Macaca mulatta: one gene and its partners. The protein of the gene in region 1 purifies or fractionates together with the protein of each later gene. This does not show direct contact. Links are inferred from orthologs where the notes say so. Each region holds a gene or a part of one and is shown in the gene's direction. Other genes may lie near its edges. The genes, in order: IQGAP1, MYL6, HECTD1, DVL2, STAU1 and MYL6B.

The links.
Region 2: the proteins of IQGAP1 (region 1) and MYL6 purify together in Homo sapiens (affinity purification with mass spectrometry; 4 studies listed by BioGRID and IntAct, counting the BioPlex papers as one, with this or other methods). This does not show direct contact. The link is inferred for Macaca mulatta from reciprocal best matches to the Homo sapiens genes IQGAP1 and MYL6.
Region 3: the proteins of IQGAP1 (region 1) and HECTD1 purify together in Homo sapiens (affinity purification with mass spectrometry; 3 studies listed by BioGRID, with this or other methods). This does not show direct contact. The link is inferred for Macaca mulatta from reciprocal best matches to the Homo sapiens genes IQGAP1 and HECTD1.
Region 4: the proteins of IQGAP1 (region 1) and DVL2 purify together in Homo sapiens (affinity purification with western blotting; 3 studies listed by BioGRID, with this or other methods). This does not show direct contact. The link is inferred for Macaca mulatta from reciprocal best matches to the Homo sapiens genes IQGAP1 and DVL2.
Region 5: the proteins of IQGAP1 (region 1) and STAU1 purify together in Homo sapiens (affinity purification with mass spectrometry; 4 studies listed by BioGRID and IntAct, with this or other methods). This does not show direct contact. The link is inferred for Macaca mulatta from reciprocal best matches to the Homo sapiens genes IQGAP1 and STAU1.
Region 6: the proteins of IQGAP1 (region 1) and MYL6B purify together in Homo sapiens (affinity purification with mass spectrometry; 3 studies listed by BioGRID and IntAct, with this or other methods). This does not show direct contact. The link is inferred for Macaca mulatta from reciprocal best matches to the Homo sapiens genes IQGAP1 and MYL6B.

What each region holds. Positions count from the first base shown.
Region 1 is NC_133412.1:80,384,156-80,387,655, forward strand, and holds part of IQGAP1 (ras GTPase-activating-like protein IQGAP1), read left to right. Parts: intron 1-2,872; coding exon 2,873-2,981; intron 2,982-3,500. UniProt on the Homo sapiens protein: Plays a crucial role in regulating the dynamics and assembly of the actin cytoskeleton.
Region 2 is NC_133416.1:63,309,899-63,313,833, forward strand, and holds the start of MYL6 (myosin light polypeptide 6), read left to right. Parts: upstream 1-1,135; 5' UTR 1,136-1,178; coding exon 1,179-1,181; intron 1,182-1,438; coding exon 1,439-1,466; intron 1,467-2,342; coding exon 2,343-2,486; intron 2,487-2,719; coding exon 2,720-2,893; intron 2,894-2,986; coding exon 2,987-3,064; intron 3,065-3,359; coding exon 3,360-3,388; 3' UTR 3,389-3,404; intron 3,405-3,935. UniProt on the Homo sapiens protein: Regulatory light chain of myosin. Does not bind calcium.
Region 3 is NC_133412.1:104,221,553-104,224,698, reverse strand, and holds the end of HECTD1 (E3 ubiquitin-protein ligase HECTD1), read left to right. Parts: intron 1-1,442; coding exon 1,443-1,587; intron 1,588-1,699; coding exon 1,700-1,837; 3' UTR 1,838-2,646; downstream 2,647-3,146. UniProt on the Homo sapiens protein: E3 ubiquitin-protein ligase which accepts ubiquitin from an E2 ubiquitin-conjugating enzyme in the form of a thioester and then directly transfers the ubiquitin to targeted substrates.
Region 4 is NC_133421.1:8,711,184-8,714,584, reverse strand, and holds the end of DVL2 (segment polarity protein dishevelled homolog DVL-2), read left to right. Parts: intron 1-206; coding exon 207-274; intron 275-468; coding exon 469-597; coding exon of another isoform or gene 598-615; intron 616-677; coding exon of another isoform or gene 678-716; coding exon 717-848; intron 849-982; coding exon 983-1,162; intron 1,163-1,293; coding exon of another isoform or gene 1,294-1,359; intron 1,360-1,604; coding exon 1,605-1,823; coding exon of another isoform or gene 1,824-1,844; intron 1,845-1,907; coding exon of another isoform or gene 1,908-1,930; coding exon 1,931-2,379; 3' UTR 2,380-2,901; downstream 2,902-3,401. Other genes in the region: ACADVL (very long-chain specific acyl-CoA dehydrogenase, mitochondrial), read right to left, coding at 3,140-3,280, 3,352-3,401.
Region 5 is NC_133415.1:101,966,591-101,970,090, reverse strand, and holds part of STAU1 (double-stranded RNA-binding protein Staufen homolog 1), read left to right. Parts: intron 1-1,593; coding exon 1,594-1,732; intron 1,733-3,500. UniProt on the Homo sapiens protein: Binds double-stranded RNA (regardless of the sequence) and tubulin.
Region 6 is NC_133416.1:63,303,961-63,308,109, forward strand, and holds the start of MYL6B (myosin light chain 6B), read left to right. Parts: upstream 1-1,349; 5' UTR 1,350-1,394; intron 1,395-2,615; 5' UTR 2,616-2,682; coding exon 2,683-2,859; intron 2,860-3,577; coding exon 3,578-3,605; intron 3,606-3,820; coding exon 3,821-3,964; intron 3,965-4,149. UniProt on the Homo sapiens protein: Regulatory light chain of myosin. Does not bind calcium.

The sequences.
Region 1 (3,500 bases):
TTCACTTCTTTGGGTCTGATCTTAATTTTTCATCATTAAAGCAGGAAGCCACTCCTTGGATTTCTTCTGTTTCTGAACCAAGAATAAATTAAGAGTAACAATAAGAGGAGTTTGCTTTATTCCACTTACAGCTAGGAACCAGGCACTTAACCTTCATTTTCTTTTCTGGGAAGTATCAGCTTGCTTTGCAGGTGGTTCATGGACCTGACATGTCATCCTCCCATAGATCCTGGGCCCAGCCTCATTAGCAAGCATTTATTAAGCGTCTGCTCAGTCAGCCCTGTGACGTCAGGCTACTGATCTTTCCCTTCTTGTGTCTGGGGAAAAAAAAAAAACTTTTAAAAAAAGAACTTTTACAGTTTTCTGATTCTAAAATAATATGTATTCATTATTAAACTTTGAAGATACAGTAAAGCATAAAAAAGAAAACACCTGTAATTTCACAAGCCAGAGATAACCAGGGAAATCATTTTAATGTATTTTTTTTCTATTCACATAAAGATTATCCACAACTCACCCACTTATTTATCTAACTACTTTATATATATTTTTTTTTGTTCTTCTTCTTCTCCCCCCCCCCTTTTTTTCTTTTTTTGACGGAGTCTCTCTGTCACCCAAGCTGGAGTATGGTGGCGCGATCTCAGCTCACTGCAACCTTGGCCTCCAGGGTTCAAGCAATTCTCCCACCTCAGCCTCCCAGTTAGGTGGGACTACAGGCATGCATCACCACACCCAGCTAAGTTTTTGTATTTTCAGTAGAGATGGGGTTTCACCATGTTAGCCAGGATGGTCTTGATCTCCTAACCTCGTGATCCTCCCATTTCGGCCTCCCAAAGTGCTGGAATTACAGGCCTTTTTTTTGGAGGGGGAACAGTCTCTCTGTGTAGCCTAGGCTGGAGTGCAGTGGCATAATCTCGGCTCACTGCAACCTCCAGCTCACTGTAACCTCCGCCTCCCAGGTTCAAGTGATTCTCCTGCCTCAGTCTCCCAAGTAGCTTGGATTACAGGTGCCTGCCACCACATCCAAATAATTTTTGTATTTTTAGTAGAGACAGGGTTTTACCATGTTGGCCAGGCTGGTCTCAAACTCCTGATCTTAAGCTGATCTGCCCTCCTCAGCTTCCCAAAATGCTGGGAGGATTATAGGGATGAGCCATTGCACCCAGCCTAAAATAACTACTTAATATTTTTTAACACAAACTGGGACAATACTGTTTATGGTCATGTATCCAACTTTTTTCTTATAACATTATGCTGTGAGCATTTTTTATATTCATTGAAAGCATCCTTTTTAATGGGTACATAATTTTTAAATTTTTTTCTAGAGAAAGAGTCTTGCTATGTCACCTAGGCAGGAGTGCACTGGCATGATCACAGCTCACTGCAGCCCTAACCTCCTGGGCTTAAGAGATCTTCCCACCTTAGCCTCCCATGTAGCGGGGACCATAGGCATGTGCCACCATATCCAACTAATTATATTTTGTAGAGACAGGGTTTCACTTTGTTGCCCAGGCTGGTCTTGAACTCCTGGGCTCAAGCAGTCCTCCTGCCTTGGCCTCCCAAAGTGCTGAGATTACAGGCATGAGTCAATATTGCCCTTCTTTTTGTCATTATTTTCCACTACTGTTCAAGTGCCTACCTCTATTTGCCTTTCTTTCTTCTTTTTAATTTGCTTCTATGGGTTTAGAAACTAAATAGCCAACTAAATCTGATAAAATTATTTATCACTTAAGATAAATATCTTTAAGGAATAACCCGTGAGGCATTCCAGTTGAATAAAATGCATGTATGTTTCAGTGCATGGGTTTTTGTGACTTCTCCTTTAACTCTCAGTGACCTTTTTGCATCTTTCATGGTTCTCAGCCCTGTTTGTAATAGGTAAGGTAGCTCCATAGTTGAGTTCTGGAAATCTGGGGTGCTATACTTTGATCACCCAGAGAATGCCTTAATCCCCTTTTTTTTTTTTTTTTTTTTTTTTTTTGGAGACGGAGTCTTGCTCTGTCACCAGGCTGGACTGCAGTGGCACTATCTCAGCTTACTGCAACCTCTGGCTCCCGGGTTCAATCAATTCTCCTGTCTCATCCTCCTGAGTAGCTGGGACTACAGATGCATGCCACCACACCCAGCTAATTTTTGTATTTTTAGTAGAGACGGGATTTTACCATGTTGGCCAGGATGGTCTCGATCTCTTGACCTTGTGATCCACCCGCCTCGGTCTCCCAAAGTGCTGGGATTACAGATGTGAGGCATCGTGCCCGGCTGCATAACCCCTTTTCCTTTTGGCTTCCTAAAATTTCCTGGCAGGTAACATGTTGTGAATGAGTGATAACTTAAATATTTTTAATAATAACAATTTATCTTTGGTAATACTGAGTGTGCTTATGTACACAGCACCTACTCTTTCTAGAAAAACCTCCTCCCTTGGAGCTTTTTTTACTGACCCCCTTTTGTTTATTTACTTCTCCCAGTCCTCAAACATGCATGTATTCAAACACACATACCATCTCCTTCCACCCCAGTTTCCTGTTTTCTCCTTTTATCATTAGGTTTCATTTTTGGCCATGTGGAAGTGAAGAGAATTACTATGATGTCATCCCTTCACAGGCCACTTGTGGCACTCCTCAGTGGTTCTTCTTTTATAGAATGCAAGTGCTGCAGGCAGAGAGAGGTTGCCATTCCTCTCTCCAAGTCCCAGAGCAGATGGTACTTAGGCATGGCAATCCGTGCTGCTTCAGGTGCAGAAGTACTTTTGACCTGTATTTTCTACCCCTTTTCACCCTTGAAGACTTGGTTCATCTCCTTTCCCCATTTCACAGAATATTTTTATATAAGAACATAAAAACCATACCCTTACGATGTTATCTTTCAACAGGTTTAAAAATGTTATCTTTGAAATCAGTCCAACAGAAGAAGTTGGAGACTTTGAAGTGAAAGCCAAATTCATGGGAGTTCAAATGGAGACTTTTATGTTACATTATCAGGTGGGTATGCACCAGCAGGAACCAAAAGCTTTCTGGATGAGATTCTTGTCCAAGTAGGAGAACTAGATAAAGAGGAGACTCATCTGAGGAAAGCTGTCTACATTCAGCAGTGAGCTGGGCTCCACACTGTGGGGAAAGAAGCTGAGTGTTGCAGCACGTCTGGTTTGGTGTGTACACTCTGGAGAGCTTTTGCAGATGTAAATCTTCAGAAAACATTTATCTGAAGCTTCCACTTAGTGCTGCCACTAAATTGAGCTGATACCTTGGACTTGAACAAAATGCATAAGTACACATGCTGACATTGCAAAATTGTAAGTCCACTCAGTAGCTTGAAATTTTTTTCTCATTTTGATTTGATGTAGGTACTTAAAGGTTAGATGCACTTCTGACAAGGTGTGTGTAAAGTTTATGTTTGTAAACCACATCCTATCTTAAATCCAAAAAGAACTCGGGAGTAATTCATTTTTACAGCATAAAGATCCCTAAGTTTTATTTTGAAATATCTGATTTTTACACGTT
Region 2 (3,935 bases), on another chromosome or scaffold:
AGTGTATGACCTGAGGTCAAGAGTTTGAGAGCAGCCTGCCCAACATGGTGAAAACTCATCTCTACCAGAAATACAAAAAATTAGCGGTGAACCTGTAGTCCCAGCTACTCGGGAGGCTGAGGCAGGAGAATCGCTTAAACACGGGAGGCGGAGGTTGCAGTGAGCCGAGACTGCTCCACTGCACTCCAGCCTGGGTGACAGGAGCGAAACAACGTCTCGGAAAAAAGCATTGCCTGGGTGAGTGAAGGAGGGAAAGCAGGGACTCAGACGTTGTGTCTGGGATTCAGGAGAGAAGATGACTGAGGAGGAGGTGGAGACTGTTCTGGCAGGACATGAGGACAGCAACGGCTGCATCAACTACGAGGGTGAGGGGCCAAAAAAGCAGGAGCGGGGCCGGGGGAGGAGGGGAGCCCGGCGTCTTGCCGCGTGTGGGTGGGGGCACCCCTGAATTATCTAGAGTCAGATGTATTATCCAGAGGCCTGCTTCTGAAGCCCCTCTTGCCTCCTCTCTTTGCAGCCTTCTTGAAACACATCCTAAGCGTCTGAGTGCTACAGGTAGGGCCTTCCCACCCCTTCACCGCGCCTTAAGAGGCAAGTCTCCCGCGCTTCTCAGCCAGCATAGAAAAGCAGCGGAGTTCGTTCTGCTGTCCGGTTGCTGCGCGGGCTCCAGCGCTTGGCAACTTTCGTTTTTTTCCACAGATCCAGTGGGGTCCGGACACTGGGCCCCGCGGGCGGAAGCACGTTCCAGCCACCAGGAGGCCACCTATTGTTTCAAAATAAAGACTGGGTTCCTCTCTTCGTTTCAGACTATTTTTTTCATGGTTGGGGGAGCAAGGGGAGACGGGGAGGGTGCTAGGAGGAGAGGGCGGGAAAAGAAGGCTCTCTCCTCTTCCAGTCCTCTAATGTTCCTGTTGTTGGGAGGCGCAGATTAATTGTGCCCCACGCCCCCCCCACTCCCATCCCCGAGCGGTTCTGTGCCCAGGTAGGGCTGGAGAAACGAACAGCGGGCCCCGCCCACGTCATTACTAATGTAGCAATTATCTGCATAAACCCAGGTCACGGTTCCTATTGGCTGAGTCCGCTGAGGGTGACGTCATTGGGACGTACTAAGACTAGGGTTGGGCCGAGAGTCGGAGCCATTACTGCAGGAAAAGGTCCCGCAGAGCTGAGCAGTCAAGATGGTGGGGCCCAGGTCCTGGGAGATGGGCAGGATTGGGGGCGAGAGGTGGGAAGAGACGGGTGGGGGGGCGAGGAGAAGGCAGGGGTAGGAGGCAAAGGGAACCTGAGGACCCGAAAGGTTGGAGGTGGGGTTGGAAAGCCTGGGGCCCTATCCTGCGGGGAAGCGAGTCTGCAGCCTGAAACAGGAGTTTGTGGGGCTGGGATAGAAACTCGGGGGATTGGCGTTCAGATGCTGACCACTTCCCTCTTCTCTGAGCAGTGTGACTTCACCGAAGACCAGACCGCAGGTAGGTTATCTCTGATCCCTACCGAGGTCACCCTTAGGGAGAGGGACACCCGCCCCCCAGCACCTATCCTCTAATCTTAATCTGTCATCTCTTTAGCACCCCTATGAGGTTACCCCCTGGATTATTTTCTCTTCTTTTGGATCCTCCATTTTCTTTTCTCACTTTCTTCCTCCCTCCCCTTCCACTCTAGATCTGAGTCCCAAGCACTGGGTGAGTTTTAGGTGGTGTGGGTATGTGAAAAAACTTGGTCACCTAATGCCTGCTGTTTGTGGGGTCTGGGGAGGGTGTATAAAGCTGCCTGCTCTCCTTTGTCCCTTAATCAGCTACTTCTGTCTTTTTTCTCCTCCTGTGATAACTGCCCCTGACCTCCCAGCTTGCAGTTGTGAAGACTGTAGAGCAGTGACTTGATATTCTGTGCAGATGGGGACAGGACAGGGGAGTTTGCTAAGGATATGACTGTAGCTCTACCCTCTGGAAGTTCTCTTTGTACTGGAGGGGTGCAAAGTGGCAGGTTGGGATGACCCTGGTCCCAGGCTGCTGCTCTCACTTCCTTATAAGGACAGGACTGAGACTGGGCGGTGGCGAATTCCTGCCCTGAGAAGTGTAGTAGCAGCAGTGGAGATTGGCAGGTCTGCCGCAGGCAGAGGGGGATGTGTAAATGGATGTTACCAGGCTGCCAGAGGGGGAGGAAGGCTCTATATAGGACACCTGAGTTGGGAGGAAGATAAATAGATCCCTCTTAAGTACACTTCGGTGTACAGTTTGGTGCAGATATCTGGTTTCCTCAGCATGATCAAAGTTGAATGGGCAGCAGGCTCTGAGGTAGGGTTTGGGTTAACCCTCAAATCCTGTGTTGACATTCATCTGAATCCTCAGAGTTCAAGGAGGCCTTCCAGCTGTTTGACCGAACAGGTGATGGCAAGATCCTGTACAGCCAGTGTGGGGACGTGATGAGGGCCCTGGGCCAGAACCCTACCAACGCCGAGGTGCTCAAGGTCCTGGGGAACCCCAAGAGTGATGGTGAGGGGCCTCAAGAACAACAACTCAGTGTGGTCATGGGCCCACAGTTCTTCAGCTAAGAGCTTCCCTTTATCTTCATAGGCCCCAAACTCAAAAGTCTGGATTAGCAAATCCCATGGATTTCCCTGCTTAGGAGGGAGTCATCTCTCTGTTCAGTTGAGGTCTCTATTATCCCCCGTCCTGAGAACTTGTGTTACTTCTCTGGCCTGACACTTCCACCTCCTTTATGGCAGAGATGAACGTGAAGGTGCTGGACTTTGAGCACTTTCTGCCCATGCTGCAGACAGTGGCCAAGAACAAGGACCAGGGCACCTATGAGGATTATGTCGAAGGACTTCGGGTGTTTGACAAGGAAGGAAATGGCACTGTCATGGGTGCTGAAATCCGGCATGTTCTTGTCACACTGGGTAAGGTTCTGTGTCCTTGTCCTTGAGCTGAGATGCCACCCTGAATACCTCACTTGTCTCCCAATTCCAAAGATGCTCTCTTTCCCCCTGCAGGTGAGAAGATGACAGAGGAAGAAGTAGAGATGCTGGTGGCAGGGCACGAGGACAGCAATGGTTGTATCAACTATGAAGGTAAGGGGTGAACTGCGCTTTCGCAGCCACATGGGGCAGGTCAAGTATAGTGTTTGGGGCTTTCCCTATCCCTGGACGTGGGCTCCAAAAAGAGCCAGGAGGCAAGGTGCAGGGCCCTGCCCAGCCCAGCCCAGGAGTGGGAGGTCAGGGGGGTGTAACAGGAAAGGAAGGAGTAGTATTGTAGAGGGTGGGAAGGAATGAGAAGTGAAATAATGGAATGTCTGTCCCCACCGCCTGACCCCTCACCCCATGTCTGTGTCTTGTCTTCACCATGAATGTCTCTTCCTTCCTGCAGCGTTTGTGAGGCATATCCTGTCGGGGTGACGGGCCCATGGGGCGGGTACGGCTCCTCCCAGCCTCTCCCCTAGTTGATCTCCCCAGTGTTTCTTTTTTCCTCAACCTGTGCTCTTTATCCCCTGCCCTTACCCTACTACCATCTGACTTCCTCCTGGCATGTTTCTGCATGGAGCTGACTAGGGAGGGGAGGGATTCCTCATAGAGGAATACAGCCTGGGGGTAAGGTACCTCTTTACTTCTAGAATGGGCCTTGAGGTTTTACTTATAGGGCCCTGGGTGCTGGTGTCTGGGAACTCTCACCAGCCTGTATACCAGTCTTGCTTTAGGGTGACCTTCTGGCCCTGGAGCATGGGTAGCTGGCATAGAGGGGTATGGGTTGCCTGCCCCATTCTGCTGCTATAGCTGAACAGTCCTTTCCCCTTCCCTCGCTGGGCAGCTTGGAGGTACCCTAACCCAAAACTCTTGTCCTCTCCTCCCGCCAGTGGCTGACAGTAGCTGTAGGTGTAGTTGAGAACTTTTCTGCCTCTGCTGTGTTCTTGCTGCTCAGGGTGGGGAGGGGCACTAACAGCTGGTG
Region 3 (3,146 bases), about 24 Mb from region 1:
TCAGGCCGGGCGCAGTGGCTCACACCTGTAATCCCAGCACTTTGGGAGGCTAAGGCGGGCGAATCACTTGAGGTCAGGAGTTTGAGACCAGCCTGGCCAACATGGTGAAACCTTGTTTCTACTAAAAATACCAAAAATTAGCTGGGCGTGGTGGCAGACGCCTATAATTCCAGCTATTCGGGAGGCTGAGGCAGGAGAATCACTTGAACCCAGGAAGTGGAGGTTGCAGTGAGACAAGATCGTGCTATTGCACTCCAGCCTGGGCAACAAGAGTGAAACTCCATCTCAAAAAAAAAAAAAGACAGCTGACATCATGGTTGATGTTGATTCCTTTTCTCATTGTGTTTTAATTGTTCATTTTTAAAATTTGGTAAATTGTAAGCTGTTAGGCTATACTACATTTATATTAAACTTTTTATTGAATATAACAGATAAGTACACACGTCATATATACAGTTTAGAGGATTTTCTCAAAATGCACACACCTATATATCCAGAATATGAAGCAACTTCAAAAATCCCCCTTCCCACGATATTCTTTTCTGTTAATTTAATCACCATATGTTGATCAGTTTTGCTTGCTTTTGAACTTTTAATGTAAAATCATGTAGTCTGTTTTCTTTGTGGTCTGGTTTCTTTTGAGTAACATGATCATGAGATTTATCCATGTTCTGGCATATAGTTCATTTACTATTTCATTACACAAATTCATTTACACAAGTTCATTTACTATTTCATTACACAAATTTATCACAAGATAATTATTTTGCTGGAACAAAAATCGATTATTTCAGATCCCCTTTGGTATATTTATCCATATTTGGAATGATTTTGCAAATGCATCCTATGTTTTTATGATTTACTGACTTTGTTGCATAATAGATGGACCCCATACACCATCAGTATTTTTTAGTTCTTACAATTTATAAGTGCAAGACAGGCTTTGAGGGATTTTTTTTTTTTTTTTTTTTTTTGAGATGTAGTTTCACTCTTGTTGTCCAGGCTGGAGTGCAATGGCATAATCCTGGCTCACTGAAACCTCTGCCTCCCAGTTTCAAGCGATTCTCCTGCCTTAGCCTCCCAAGTAGCTGGGATTACAGGCATGCGCCACCATGCCCAGCTAATTTTGTATTTTTAGTAGAGATGGGGTTTCACCATGTTCATCAGGCTGGTCTCAAACTCCTGACCTCAGGTGATCCATCCGCCTCATCCTCCCAAGGTGCTGGAATTACAGGTATGAGCCACCACACCTGGCCAGGGATATTTTTAAAGTAGCTTGTCTTAGCCCATTTCATACTTACCCAAGAGTCTCTAGATGTGTTGTTCTTCTGGTGTGAGGATATTGTTTTTTAGGGGGCTTGTTGCTGGCTGACAAAGTAGTGGTAGTGATTTTCATTTAAATCTGCAGTCAACTCAGTATAACTATATTTTTGTTCTTTTAGCCCTGGTTTCCTGAGGTTTGTGAGGGTTTTATGTGGCATGTCTTCTGATGAAAGGAAAGCATTCTTGCAGTTTACCACTGGTTGTTCAACTCTACCCCCAGGTGGACTGGCTAACCTGCATCCCAGGCTCACGGTTGTACGCAAGGTACAAGCTCTGTGGCTAATTGGGAATCCAAATGAAATTTAGTTACTTTACTTTTGAAAGAAAGAAGTATTTAAACTCATGGTCTTCTGTTGTGTTTGCTTTCTTGCTGTAGGTTGACGCTACTGATGCAAGCTATCCATCAGTCAATACATGTGTGCATTACCTTAAGTTGCCTGAATATTCTTCCGAGGAGATCATGAGAGAGCGCCTGCTAGCTGCTACAATGGAGAAAGGCTTTCATCTCAATTGAGCTTTGAAGTGCAATGGGAGACATCAGAGACTTTAAAAATACTAGTGAAGCCTCTTGTGTTTATGTGCAGAGAAGTATATGATCCTCCACGCTAATGACACTTGCCTTTTTTTCCACCATTAAGGCTTTAAGAACATGTGGAATAAGTTTGTTAGCTGCTAATGACAAAACAAATCCTGTAACTACCCAGCCAGCAAGTATATAGCACAGAACACTGTGTTACTTTACAAGGGCTTATGTGACTGGAATAAGGTGGTCCTACTTGACTGTTCCAAAGAGCAGCTTCTCAGATCTTCAGTGTTCACTGGTAAATTTCTAACAGTGTATTTGTGTAAAGTTTGTCATTTCATACTCCATACACTACAGTTGCCGTCACTGATCCCTGTTTTGCTGGCTTTTAAGCTACTTGGTCAAAAATCCTGCTTCCTTAAAACATAGAGAATTAATGAGCATCTCAAGCTTTTTCTTTTCCTTTTTAATGATGCCTGCACTATCAAGAGTATTCTAGTGTTCTCTCTTTGTTTGGCATATAATCATGCACCAACCTTTTATTTCTTTAAGGTGGGAGTATATTTTTATTTGCTAAATGCCGTACTATGAAGATCAAAGTCTTAAGTGTGTTTGTGCAGCTCAAAAATAAAGATGTATTAAGGGGGGAAAACACTGGTCTAAGTGCAAGGCACACTTAAAGCAAGTTTTACTTTTGGTTGTATTTTCTTTGTATATTATAAACATTTATTTAACTTGTTGCCGTTTGAAGTAAAAAATTTCCAAAATGTATGCTCAACAATAATGATTAAAATGTTTGCAGCGTACAAAACTGTGTCGTTTGACTATTTCAGTGCAATCATCAGACTTCAGAGCTTTACCATGTACTTGTCATTTTGAATCATCCACAGTTTTCTGAAATTACTACATAAAGAAATGTGTTTTTCTATAGTAAATACGGTTATTAAAATTGAAAGACTAGAAGAAATATATATTCACACACTTGTGATCCAACGGTTGGGTTCAGTTTTAAAGTATGCCTCAGCTAGAACTGACCAGTTACTTGTGTTAATTGTTTTAAAAAACACCAGATCCACAACTATTATATCTGCAGGGATATGTAAAGTGAGGATGTAAGAAAGATCCAAGAATGATTTTTAAATGTTGTGTTAGTGTCAAAAGAAAACACAAAGATACTGCTGTTTTGTGGTTTTGAAGAAGGGACTGTATTTCCAAATTCCAAAGTGGATTTTCCAAATTCCAGTTATTACCATATCTGTGCTTATAGGTGAAAGGAATGACACTAGGCCTGATTTAGCCA
Region 4 (3,401 bases), on another chromosome or scaffold:
TCATTTGGCAGTATGTTTTTAAGAGTTTTCCATGTTGATGAGTCATCCGCATTGTGGTGCCTTCCACCCTCACCTTCTCCAGCCCAGCCGCGATGTGCTTGCTTCTCCTTCTCTTTGTGTCTCTTAATCCATCCTTGCTTCAGGCCCCCACTCTCCTGAGGCCTCCTCTTCCCCTGCGCCCTTGACTGGACTTCTCTTCCCCGTAGCCCCATTGTGCTGACTGTGGCCAAGTGCTGGGATCCCTCTCCTCAGGCCTATTTCACTCTCCCGAGAAGTGAGTGACACTCAGGGAGGGGGCCTGAAGTTGGGGGTGGGGGCTGGCCAGGAGGCTGGGGCTGGACCTCTGGTCATGGGGAGTGGGTGGGAGGAGGGTCCAGGCAGAGGTGGAACAGGAGGCTGAGTCAGGGAGGGACTGGGCTGGCTTTTGGGGACTGAGAATGGGTCATTTTGGTGCCATCTTTGTCCCAGATGAGCCCATCCAGCCAATTGACCCTGCTGCCTGGGTGTCCCACTCTGCGGCTCTGACTGGCACCTTCCCAGCCTATCCGGGCTCCTCCTCCATGAGCACCATTACATCTGGATCCTCTTTGCCTGATGGTGAGCCACCAGCCCACCGCATCCCACCCTCCCAGCAGAAGGCTGTCCTGCAGTGGTCTGACCCATTGCCTTTGTGGGAGTGATCCCTGACTCTCATTCCCTGTGGTCTCCTCTGCCAGGCTGTGAGGGCCGGGGTCTCTCCATCCATACGGACATGGCATCGGTGACCAAGGCCATGGCAGCTCCAGAGTCTGGACTGGAAGTCCGGGACCGCATGTGGCTCAAGATCACCATCCCTAATGCCTTTCTGGGTACGGCTGGGTCCTGGGCAGGTGGCTGGAGAAAGGGAGGAGGAGGCAGCCAAAGCCGGGAGTGGCACAGGCAGAGGCGAGAGCAGGAGTTGGAAGGAGAACCTGAGGCCTTTTTCCACTGTGGATGCTCCCAGGCTCGGATGTGGTTGACTGGCTCTACCATCACGTGGAGGGCTTTCCTGAGCGGCGGGAGGCCCGCAAGTATGCCAGTGGGCTGCTCAAAGCGGGCCTGATCCGACACACCGTCAACAAGATCACCTTCTCTGAACAGTGCTATTACGTCTTCGGAGACCTCAGTGGTGGCTGTGAGAGCTGTGAGTCCCTCTGCCCCAACTCTGGGAGTGTGGCTTTGCCTGCCTTGTTCTGCCTCTCCAACCCTAGACCTAGCCCAGAAACTGCAGCCAGGGCCACGATGGATGGTCGAGCAGCGTGTGTCCCGCACTAGGTCCTGCATTGGCCGAGGATCGTGGCTGGCATCCATCCATGCGCTGCTGGACAAGCCACGCGCCAGGTGCAGGACTGTGTCCACCGGGGGAAGGTGCACATCCTCCTGAGTCCCACAAAGACATGGGCTAGTGGTGGCCCTGGCTGTGCCCCTGCCCTCATGGCAGAAGTAGATGGGAGTTTCCTGTCAAGAGTCCCCTGTGAACCCCTGTTTTGAGCCCCATCGTGGGTGGGTCTGGGCTCTCCATTCCGTGTCTTGGGGCCTTAGCCTCTTGAAGCAGTGATTTCTTCCTCACTTCCCTTGTTTTCCAGACCTAGTCAACCTGTCTCTCAATGACAACGATGGCTCCAGTGGGGCTTCGGACCAGGACACCCTGGCTCCTCTGCCTGGGGCCACCCCCTGGCCCTTGCTGCCCACTTTCTCCTACCAATACCCGGCCCCACACCCCTACAGCCCGCAGCCCCCACCGTACCATGAACTTTCATCTTATACCTTTGGTGGGGGCAGTGCCAGCAGCCAGCACAGTGAGGGTAAGTCATCCCCACATACCTGTACGGCCAGGGTCTGAGGGTGGATCAGAGGGCAGCCAGGGAGGAGCCTGGGTGAGGACTTAGTTGCCCCTCCCCTCCCTCCACAGGCAGCCGGAGCAGTGGGTCGACCCGGAGTGATGGGGGGGCAGGGCGCACAGGGAGGCCCGAGGAGCGGGCCCCCGAGTCCAAGTCCGGCAGTGGCAGTGAGTCCGAGCCCTCCAGCCGAGGGGGCAGCCTTCGGCGGGGTGGGGAACCAAGTGGGACTGGCGATGGGGGCCCTCCTCCATCCAGAGGCTCAGCTGGGGGTGCCCCTAATCTCCGAGCCCACTCGGGGCTCCATCCTTATGGACCACCCCCTGGCATGGCCCTCCCCTACAACCCCATGATGGTGGTCATGATGCCCCCACCCCCACCTCCAGTCCCTCCAGCAGTGCAGCCTCCGGGGGCCCCTCCAGTCAGAGACCTGGGCTCTGTGCCGCCAGAACTGACAGCCAGCCGCCAAAGCTTCCACATGGCCATGGGCAATCCCAGCGAGTTCTTTGTGGATGTTATGTAGCCCACTGTGGGGCCAGGCTTGGCCTGGCGCTCCTGGTGTGTGACTGGCTGTCCTGGCCATCATGTGCTTGCTCTTACAGTGCCTGGGCTCAGCCTAGCAGCTGCTGCCATACAGGAGATTGTGGCCACTGTGACTCTCACCAGCAGTGCCTGGTTCCTCCCCCTTCCCTCGGGTAGACAAGGGACCTTTGATTATTTTTAGCTTTGTTTTTTTAATAAGTCTTTTTGGGGGTTAAAATAGAGTTTCTTACATTTTTGGGACTTTTTAAATAGGCATTTTCTCTTTTATATGAAAAATCCCGTCCGTTGGGCCCCTTCTAACCCCAGAATGTGACCTCCTCCTCCAGTTACCCATAGCCTTGCCCTGTGCAGGTTTGGGGGTGGTCAGTGGTACCCTGGGGTTAGGCACCCTAGACAGCAGCCTGAGGAAGCTGGGAGATTTGGGCCATGTAGCTGCCTTTGTTACTCTATTTATTTTAGTCACTTGTATAAAACACCAAATAAAGCAATAGAGGCAAACTCCCCACGCCTCTGGCTCCTTTCTTTGGGAGGGAGGCAGGCAGCAGAGGGAAAGAACGGACACACAGGAGCAAAGCATGACTGGTTAGAAATTTTTATTATTTTCGAGGCAGTAAGTGCTCTTGAGAGCAGGCACAGTCCTGGGAATACTAGGCCCCCTCCGGGACAAACCAGGGCCCTAAGGAGAGGGGCTTTGGCTTGAGGAAAGGCACATAACCGGGCCAGGCCCTGGCCAGGAGTATTCAGAAGCCAAGTGGGTTGCTGGTGACCACACCACCCCGCTCCACCAAGGCCTTGGAGATGCTTTTGAAGTTGCGGTAGAGCTCATGCTGCCGGGGGTCAGACTGCAGGGCGGCCATGCCCTCTCGGATCCGGGCTGCAGCCTGGGGAGAGGGAAGGAGGGTTGGGCCTGCACCTCTAGCCCTCACCTGAGCTTAGCAGCCCCGAGTCTCACCTCGATACACCAGGTGTCACAGAGCATTTTCTCATGCTGGGCCGTGTGGT
Region 5 (3,500 bases), on another chromosome or scaffold:
CAAACCCCAATGTTATTCTTATAGAGTTGATTCATGCATTAAATTTAGTTGAACCAATTATAGTACAGAATAAGGTCTTTTTTATTTCTCTGTATATACACCCTAAAGAGGCATTTTAAAGTGGATTTTTGTGTGCATTTAGATTTTGCCATTTCTAGTGTTCTGTTTTTGATATGAAAGTGTTGTTTTTAAATATGATTGTGCACTGACACTAATCTTTCCAGGCTGGTTTTCTTTTTAAATGGTTTTTAAAAGTTTATGGATTGGATGAACTGAGAGAAAGAAAAATTGGAAAATGAATAGCATGTATCTTCTGAAGTTGATACATTTTGAGATAACTTGTTGTATATGAAAATGGAACTCATTTTCCTAGCAAGTATTACCACAGGTCAAATTCCATTAGAAATATCAAGAATGGAAATACCTGAATATTTTGTGGGCCTTGTGTAACTTCTCCAAAAAGAATTGGGTTGCGGTCGCCTCAGTGATTTTTCACCTTGAGTTGCACATCGTGTTGTATTGTAGCTCTTTAAGTGTGCTTTGTGTTCTTTGAACTCCTCTGGGGCAGGAATTGTTTCTTTTTTTTTTTTTTTAGACAGAGTTTCACTCTTGTTGCCCGATGTGGAGTGCAGTGAGGCAATCTCGGCTCACTGCAGCCTCCGCTTCCTGGGTTCAAGTGATTCTCCTGCTTCAGCCTCCCAAGTAGCTGGGATTACAAGTGCGTGCCACCATGCCTGGCAAATTTTTTGTATTTTTAGTAGAAATGGGGTTTCACCATGTTAGCCAGGCTGGTCTTGAACTCCTGACCTCAGGTGATCTGCCCGCCTCAGCCTTCCAAAGTGCTGGGATTACAGGCGTGAGCCACTCTCACTGCAAGGTCTGCCTCCTGAGGCCATTCTCCTGCCTCAGTCTCCTGAGTAGCTGGGACTACAGGTGCCCACCACCACGCCCGACTAATTTTTTGTATTTTTTAGTAGAGACGGAGTTTCACCATGTTAACCAGGATGGTCTTGATATCCTGACCTCGTGATCCGCCTGCCTCGGCCTCCCAAAGTGCTGGGATTACAGGCGTGACCCACCATGCCTGGCCAGGAATTGTATTTCTTAAGCTTAGCACAGTGCTTTGCATCCAGTTAGTAACGTAATAAATGCATCATTCAATAGTGTGTACAGATATACTTCTGAGTGCAAGCCAATAATCCTGTAAATCAGTACAACCAAGGTTATATTGATTAAATATTCTCAAACACTAAAATAATTTGGACATTTACATGGGATTTTTTAATCGTGAAATTTGATGTGTTTTGGAACTTATTTCTGACAGCTGTACCATATAGCTTTCACTGATAATGTCTTGGGTTAAATTGTGGCTCCTCTGATAACCCTCAGAGTAGATTTTGTGCTGTTGACTATATATAAATATCGAGAAATCACAGCATATTCTTGGATTTCCTTGTCTGATGCCTAGCAGTGACCCAGGTCCTTTTATGTATCATGAATCCGATTAGCAGAAAGCATGCTATTACATTTTATTTTAGTGAGTATCATTCTCATATCAGAACAAAACAGTTATTTGTCGATTCTTTCTTGTAGAAAGCATAACTCCTACTGTAGAACTAAATGCACTGTGCATGAAACTTGGAAAAAAACCAATGTATAAGCCTGTTGACCCTTACTCTCGGATGCAGTCCACCTATAACTACAACATGAGAGGAGGTGCTTATCCCCCGAGGTATGTGTGAGTTTTTTTTTTTCTCCATAAAATACAGGTGAAAATGTGTGATATTTTACATAAACTAGTACCTCTAGATTGTGGAGGGAGTAATGATTTGGTTTGGGCCTGCCAAATGTTGAAGTCGGTCTTAATTACTCTTGTGCCTTGTGCCCCTCCCCTGCCTTTTTTTTTTTTGAGACAGAGTCTTGCTGTGTCGCCCAGGCTGAAGTGCAGTGGCGCTGTCTCGGCTCACTGCATCCTCAGCCTCCTGGATTCAAGTGATTTCTCCCTGTCTCAGCCTCCCGAGTAGCTGGGATTGCAGGCGCCTGCCACCACGCCCGGCTAAGTTTTTTTTGTATTTTTTAGTACAGACGGGGTTCTGCGATGTTCGCCAGGCTGGTCTTGAACTCCTGACCTCAGATGATCTGCCCACTTTGGCCTCCCAAAGTGAGTCCCAAACTCACAGAGCACCCGGCCGCCCCTCTTTTTTTTTTTTTAATTCATTGAGACAGTGTCTCCCTATGTTGCCCCAACTGGTCTTGAACTCCTGGGCTCAAGGAGTCCTCCTGCCTCAGCCTGCCACAGTGCTAGGATTAAAGGCATGAGCCACTATACCCGGCCCTTTGTGCTTCTTTACTGCTCTTGGAAAGGGCCTGAGCATATTTCTCACTGGCAGTGTGGCTTGTGCCCTCTAGCAGCCTGGCTAAAGATCACCCTTGTAACTGCTTTGTGTAACTGAATCTTATTCAAACATGATTCCCATAGCATCATGATTCCTGCAAGACAGTGATTCCCAGCATTTGTAGATTACCTGATAATTGGGTACTTTTTGACTTTTGAACTTGTGCGCTTTGTAAATAGCTTTGTTGCAGTAAAATATTAATTGAAACCTGAAAATGCCATGGATTAAAAAATCTTTTGCCGGCAGTAGTAAGACATTAGTGGAGGCCGAGCGCGGTGGCTCATGCCTGTAATCCCAGCTCTTTGGGAGGCTGAGGTGGGCGGATCACGAGGTCAGGAGTTTGAGACCAGTCTGGCCAACACAGTGAAACCCTGTCTCTACTAAAAATATGAAAATTAGCTGGGCCTGGTAGTGGGCACCTATAATCGCAGCTACTCAGGAGGCTGAGGCAGGAGAATCACTTGAATCCAAGAGGCAGAGATTGCAGTGAGCTGAGATCACGCCACTGCACTCCAGCCTGGGCAACGAGAGAAACTCCATCTCAAAAAAAAAAAAAAAATTAGTGGATAGATGATGAACAAAATGGAATTCTTCATTTCCCTGCTCTCTGTTGGGGGATAAAGCCATTTTAAAAATACAAGCTATGAAATGGATAAGAAACTGGGTTCTGCTAGGGAAATGAATGAGAAACTGGGTTCTGCTAGGTAGGCTACAGCTTGTTGGGATTTCTTGAAATGAGGGTCCTTTCTAAAAGACTTGTGCGTTAAAATTCCCAGCCTTCTATTGGAGACATGCAAATTTAAAGCTAAGGTTTGAGAAGGCAGAGCAAACCAAGTGTCTGTCTCCGCCAAAGCCTAATTCATTTTAGATTTTGTCAGTGCAGGTTAGCATGATAAACTCATAATTTCTAAGCCATTGTGTTTCCTGAGATGTAAGTTTGGATTGCTAAAAACTCTTTTCTTATACTGTGTAGCAATTCTAATCCAGTTTAAGCTTTTATGAAATCTCTGGATATATTGATGAAGAGTGATTAGCATCAAACACTAATGTGAGTAGGATCGTGATGAAGGAACATTTGCCAGAGAGTGTATAGGTGACTTATCA
Region 6 (4,149 bases), on another chromosome or scaffold:
GTTTTTTTGTATTTTTAGTAGTGACAGGGTTTCACCATGTTGGCCAGGCTGGTCTCGAACTCCTGACCTCAGGTGACCAGCCTGCCTCACCTCCCAAAGTGCTGGGACTACAGGCGTGAGCCACCAAGCCCGGCCCTATTTTACCAATAATAACACTTCGAATCCTCCTAAGAGCCCTATGAGGCAGGTACCATTATCATTATTTTACAGATGAGGAACTGAGGCCCAGGAGAGACAACTAAACCTGCTGAGGGCCACTAACCAGCACCTGGTAGAACCAGGATTCAAATATGAGCAGGCTCGTCTGAACCCCATGCACTTGAGCACCCTCTGAGATAATTTAACCCCTTCATCGGTAGCAGATCTATGGTGGCCTCCAGAAATGGTTGCTAACTTACTATCATCGTTATTTCTGTCGTACAATTCATTTCTACCTTTCCAATAAACTTTCCCGAACCAGTGAACCTTACTTACTGCCCATAAAGTTCACCTGTGCCTCACCACCCTGCCCTCGCCCGAGTTTTCTGCTCTGACCGAATCCTCACACGCCAGTGCAGCCCCAGCCTCCAACACCAGGTGCACCGCCAGTGTATTTACTGATCCAGTGAATGAAGGTGGGCCCGGCCGGGCTGGTTCCCATCCTCTGATCAACGCCTAGGGGAACCAGTAAACTCCAATGCTGACCATAAGTGTCTCAGAAAGTAGGTCTGGAAAGCCCAGCCCTCCGCTCAGGAACCTATGAAGACCGGGGAGGATAGCGCATATGCGGCCGCAGGATGGAAACCTCGATCAGAAGGCTGGGGCAGGTGACTGGGCTTAATTGCAAATTTTAACATTTACTTCAGCAACCAGTTCATTAAAAACAAACTACTCTGAGGCCTCTTTTTTTCCCACCAAACCCAAGAGGAAGCGAAAAAGAGCGCAGCCGCTCTCCCTGGGGCCGTAAGTGCTTCCAGCTATCTGACCTCCACGCTGCCTGCTGCAGCCTCAACCTTTCCCCTGGTTCGGAGTTCTTTCAGCAGTAGGTCCAGGAAAACACCTGCCCCGCTCCCCACCGCCCCCCCCCCCACCGCCTCCCGAGACTAGGAGCCCGCCAGGGCTAAGTAGGAGGGATACCCTAGGGACCCTGCAGGGTTTTAGGGTTGGGGTGGATTGGAAATTGTTCATTGCCTTTCAGTTCCGGGACATGGAAGGACACTGAGTCACCAAACGCCGCCATGGGCCGGAAGCCACCGCCCTAGCCTCAGCTGCAATCTAGAGCGCGGCGTATCCCGTGAGCCCACTGGGGACTACGACTCCCGGCATGCTCCGCGGCCGTCGGAATTAACCCTTCAGGGCTGGGGGGCCGCGCTGTGCACCGCCCCCTCCCCAGCCACAGACGCGGACCCCGCAGGGTGAGTTTTGGGGGGCTGAGGAGAGCCGCTTTCTTTAAGGTTTAGTGGGGTGTGTGAGAGTGTGTGTGTGTGTGTGTGTGTGTGTGTCTGTGTGTGATGTATTTTGTAAAAATGGGACAGTTTGCAGTAATGAGATTCAGACACTGTTTTGCGAATGGGAGACCCAGCATCAACCCCGGGGCCTAAGTGGAGTCACTGCTATCTTCCTCAGAATGCTACCTAAATCCTTTCCTAATTTCCCCCAGAACAAAAGTAGGCCGCAACCCCTCCCCACTCCCAAACACCCCCCAACTTGGACTCTCTCCCAGTGCCCCCGGCAAGGTTTGTGACCTGGCCCCTGAGTCGGGATTTTTATTATACCCCTGGTAGTGGGATGAATACTCATGGAGGCCATAGGAGTGCCCACATCCTCTTGGATTAGGGAATTTAAGCCTTCTCCCAGAGCCCGCCCTTCTCGGGTGCCACCACAGGGTCCCCACAGGTTCAGCAAGCGCCCTACCTTTTGTTTGTGTTGAATGACAGTGGTCTTGTGGAAGAAGGTTCCTTCCATGGAAGAATGGGTAGCAGATGTTAAACCTGATCTTTGCCCCCACTCCTTCCCCTAAAACAACACTGCGCACTAGGAGACAATGAGGGATGTCACACTCCTGTTTCTATGACTATTCTTCCTTTATACTGTGAATAGTTTCAATTCTTGGCTGGGTGCGGGCTCAGGAACTACAAGTATTAGGGATTATTAGACTGTAGGGTTAACTACCCCTGCTCTTTACAAAGCCATGGTCAGAAAGGAGTGGAGGGGCTGGGCAGATGGGCTGCTTGTTTTTGTCATTGCTCCCAGACCACACTTTAACTTGTTCCAGTTCACACAAGCCTCCCTGACTGCTACCCCTCACCCCACCCTTCGAGAAGACTAAAGCTGCTGGATCACCTGCTTTGCCTCACCACCCCCATCTCAGTGCAAGCATCCTATCCTCACCCTGGAGGTTAACTACCTCTCATTCTGGGCAGTCCCTGGCTTCCTCCCCTACCCTCAAAGGAAACATTGTTCTTTTCTGGACAGCCTTTGGGGATGAGGGGACAGAGGGAAGAAGACCTTGGGGCAGGAGTCCTGAACCATAGGAGGCCAGGGGAGTGAGGGCAGACGGTTATATCTCTCCTCTACCTCATCCTCGCCACAGCCAACTGGCTCCCTGCCCCTGCCCCCGCCCCTTGACATCCCAGACTCCCTGGCTATTTAAACAGAGATGGGTGCCCCCATCCGCACACTGTCCTTTGGCCACCGGACATCATGCCTCCCAAGAAGGATGTTCCCGTGAAGAAACCAGCAGGGCCCTCCATCTCCAAACCTGCTGCTAAGCCAGCAGCAGCAGCAGGGGCTCCTCCAGCCAAGAGCAAAGCTGAGCCAGCTGTCCCCCAGGCCCCTCAGAAAACCCAGGAGCCTCCAATCGATCTCTCCAAAGTGGTGGTGAGTCTCTGGAAAGTGAAGATAATTGGAGGGGGTGGTTTGAGGGTGAGATACAGCTTAGGGGATTAGGGGGTATCTAGAAGGTAGGGAATCAATGAACCCTGGAATGAGATTGGGGCTTTCCCTTAGTCCCCCATTTGGAAGCATCCAGGCTTATGACTCTGCTGTTGTCTTTGCTGTTCTCTCCCTCTAACCTATAACCATGTGTGTACAGCACATGCACACTCACTTACCCCCTGCTGGAGGCAGGGACTCTTAGATGGGGAACATCTGGGTTCTGAGGACAGTTTCAAGGTGAAGGGAAAAGAGCTGTTGCCTGCCCCTGGCTGGTGATTCAACTCAAAAGGCCTGCAGCTCTGAACTCCAGGAAGGGAGGCTGAAGAGGACAGACTTGTTAGACAATCACAGCTGGGGGCCAGGGGTAAATTTAGCCTTTGTTCAGCCCCCAGTTATGTGAGGGATGCAGGGCTCAGGGCAATGGAGGGAGGGAAACAGGTGGCATGGGATTAACCCTGTTCCCAGGAAACCCTCCCCACTGTAATTCCTCTTCTTGGGATTCTCCCAAGGCCCAGAGCTGGGAATGGGACTGAGGTGGCTGGGCTTCCAGCCTGGTCCCTTTGGGCCCCTCCTCAGAAGTGGCTGCCAGTTGGTTGGGAAGAGTGCTGGAGAGGGACTGAATAAACTGTCATCTCTCCCCACCTGCTTTTTTCTTCCACAGATCGAGTTTAACAAGGACCAGCTGGAGGGTGAGGAGAAGCTGGTCTAAGCCCACTGTCCAGTCCCCAATCCCCTGGTCAGATTCTCTTTCTATTCCCCTAACCCCAGTCCCGACCTTGAAACCTCCCATACTAGTCCTCTTTTCCTCCCTTGTTCTGTTCACATAGTTTCTGAAATTCCCTTCTGTCTGGGGGTGATGGGAACCCCTAGTCAGTGTCTACACTGACCCTTCCTTATACCTTAGAGTTCAAGGAGGCCTTCGAGCTGTTTGACCGAGTAGGGGATGGCAAGATCCTGTACAGCCAGTGTGGGGACGTGATGAGGGCCCTGGGCCAGAACCCCACCAACGCCGAGGTGCTCAAGGTCCTGGGGAACCCCAAGAGTGATGGTGAGGGGACCCTTGGAACAATTTGGGTTTTTAGTTTTCAAAAGTTGAATGTTGGTAACAAAGAATGAGGTGGATCTCAGGACTTCAAAAACTGTCAAACACAGAAGCAGGAAAATATCCTAAATGCTGAACAGGATGAAAGCATTGTGGTAGGGTTGGGAGCCGGGTCCTATGTGATACTACAG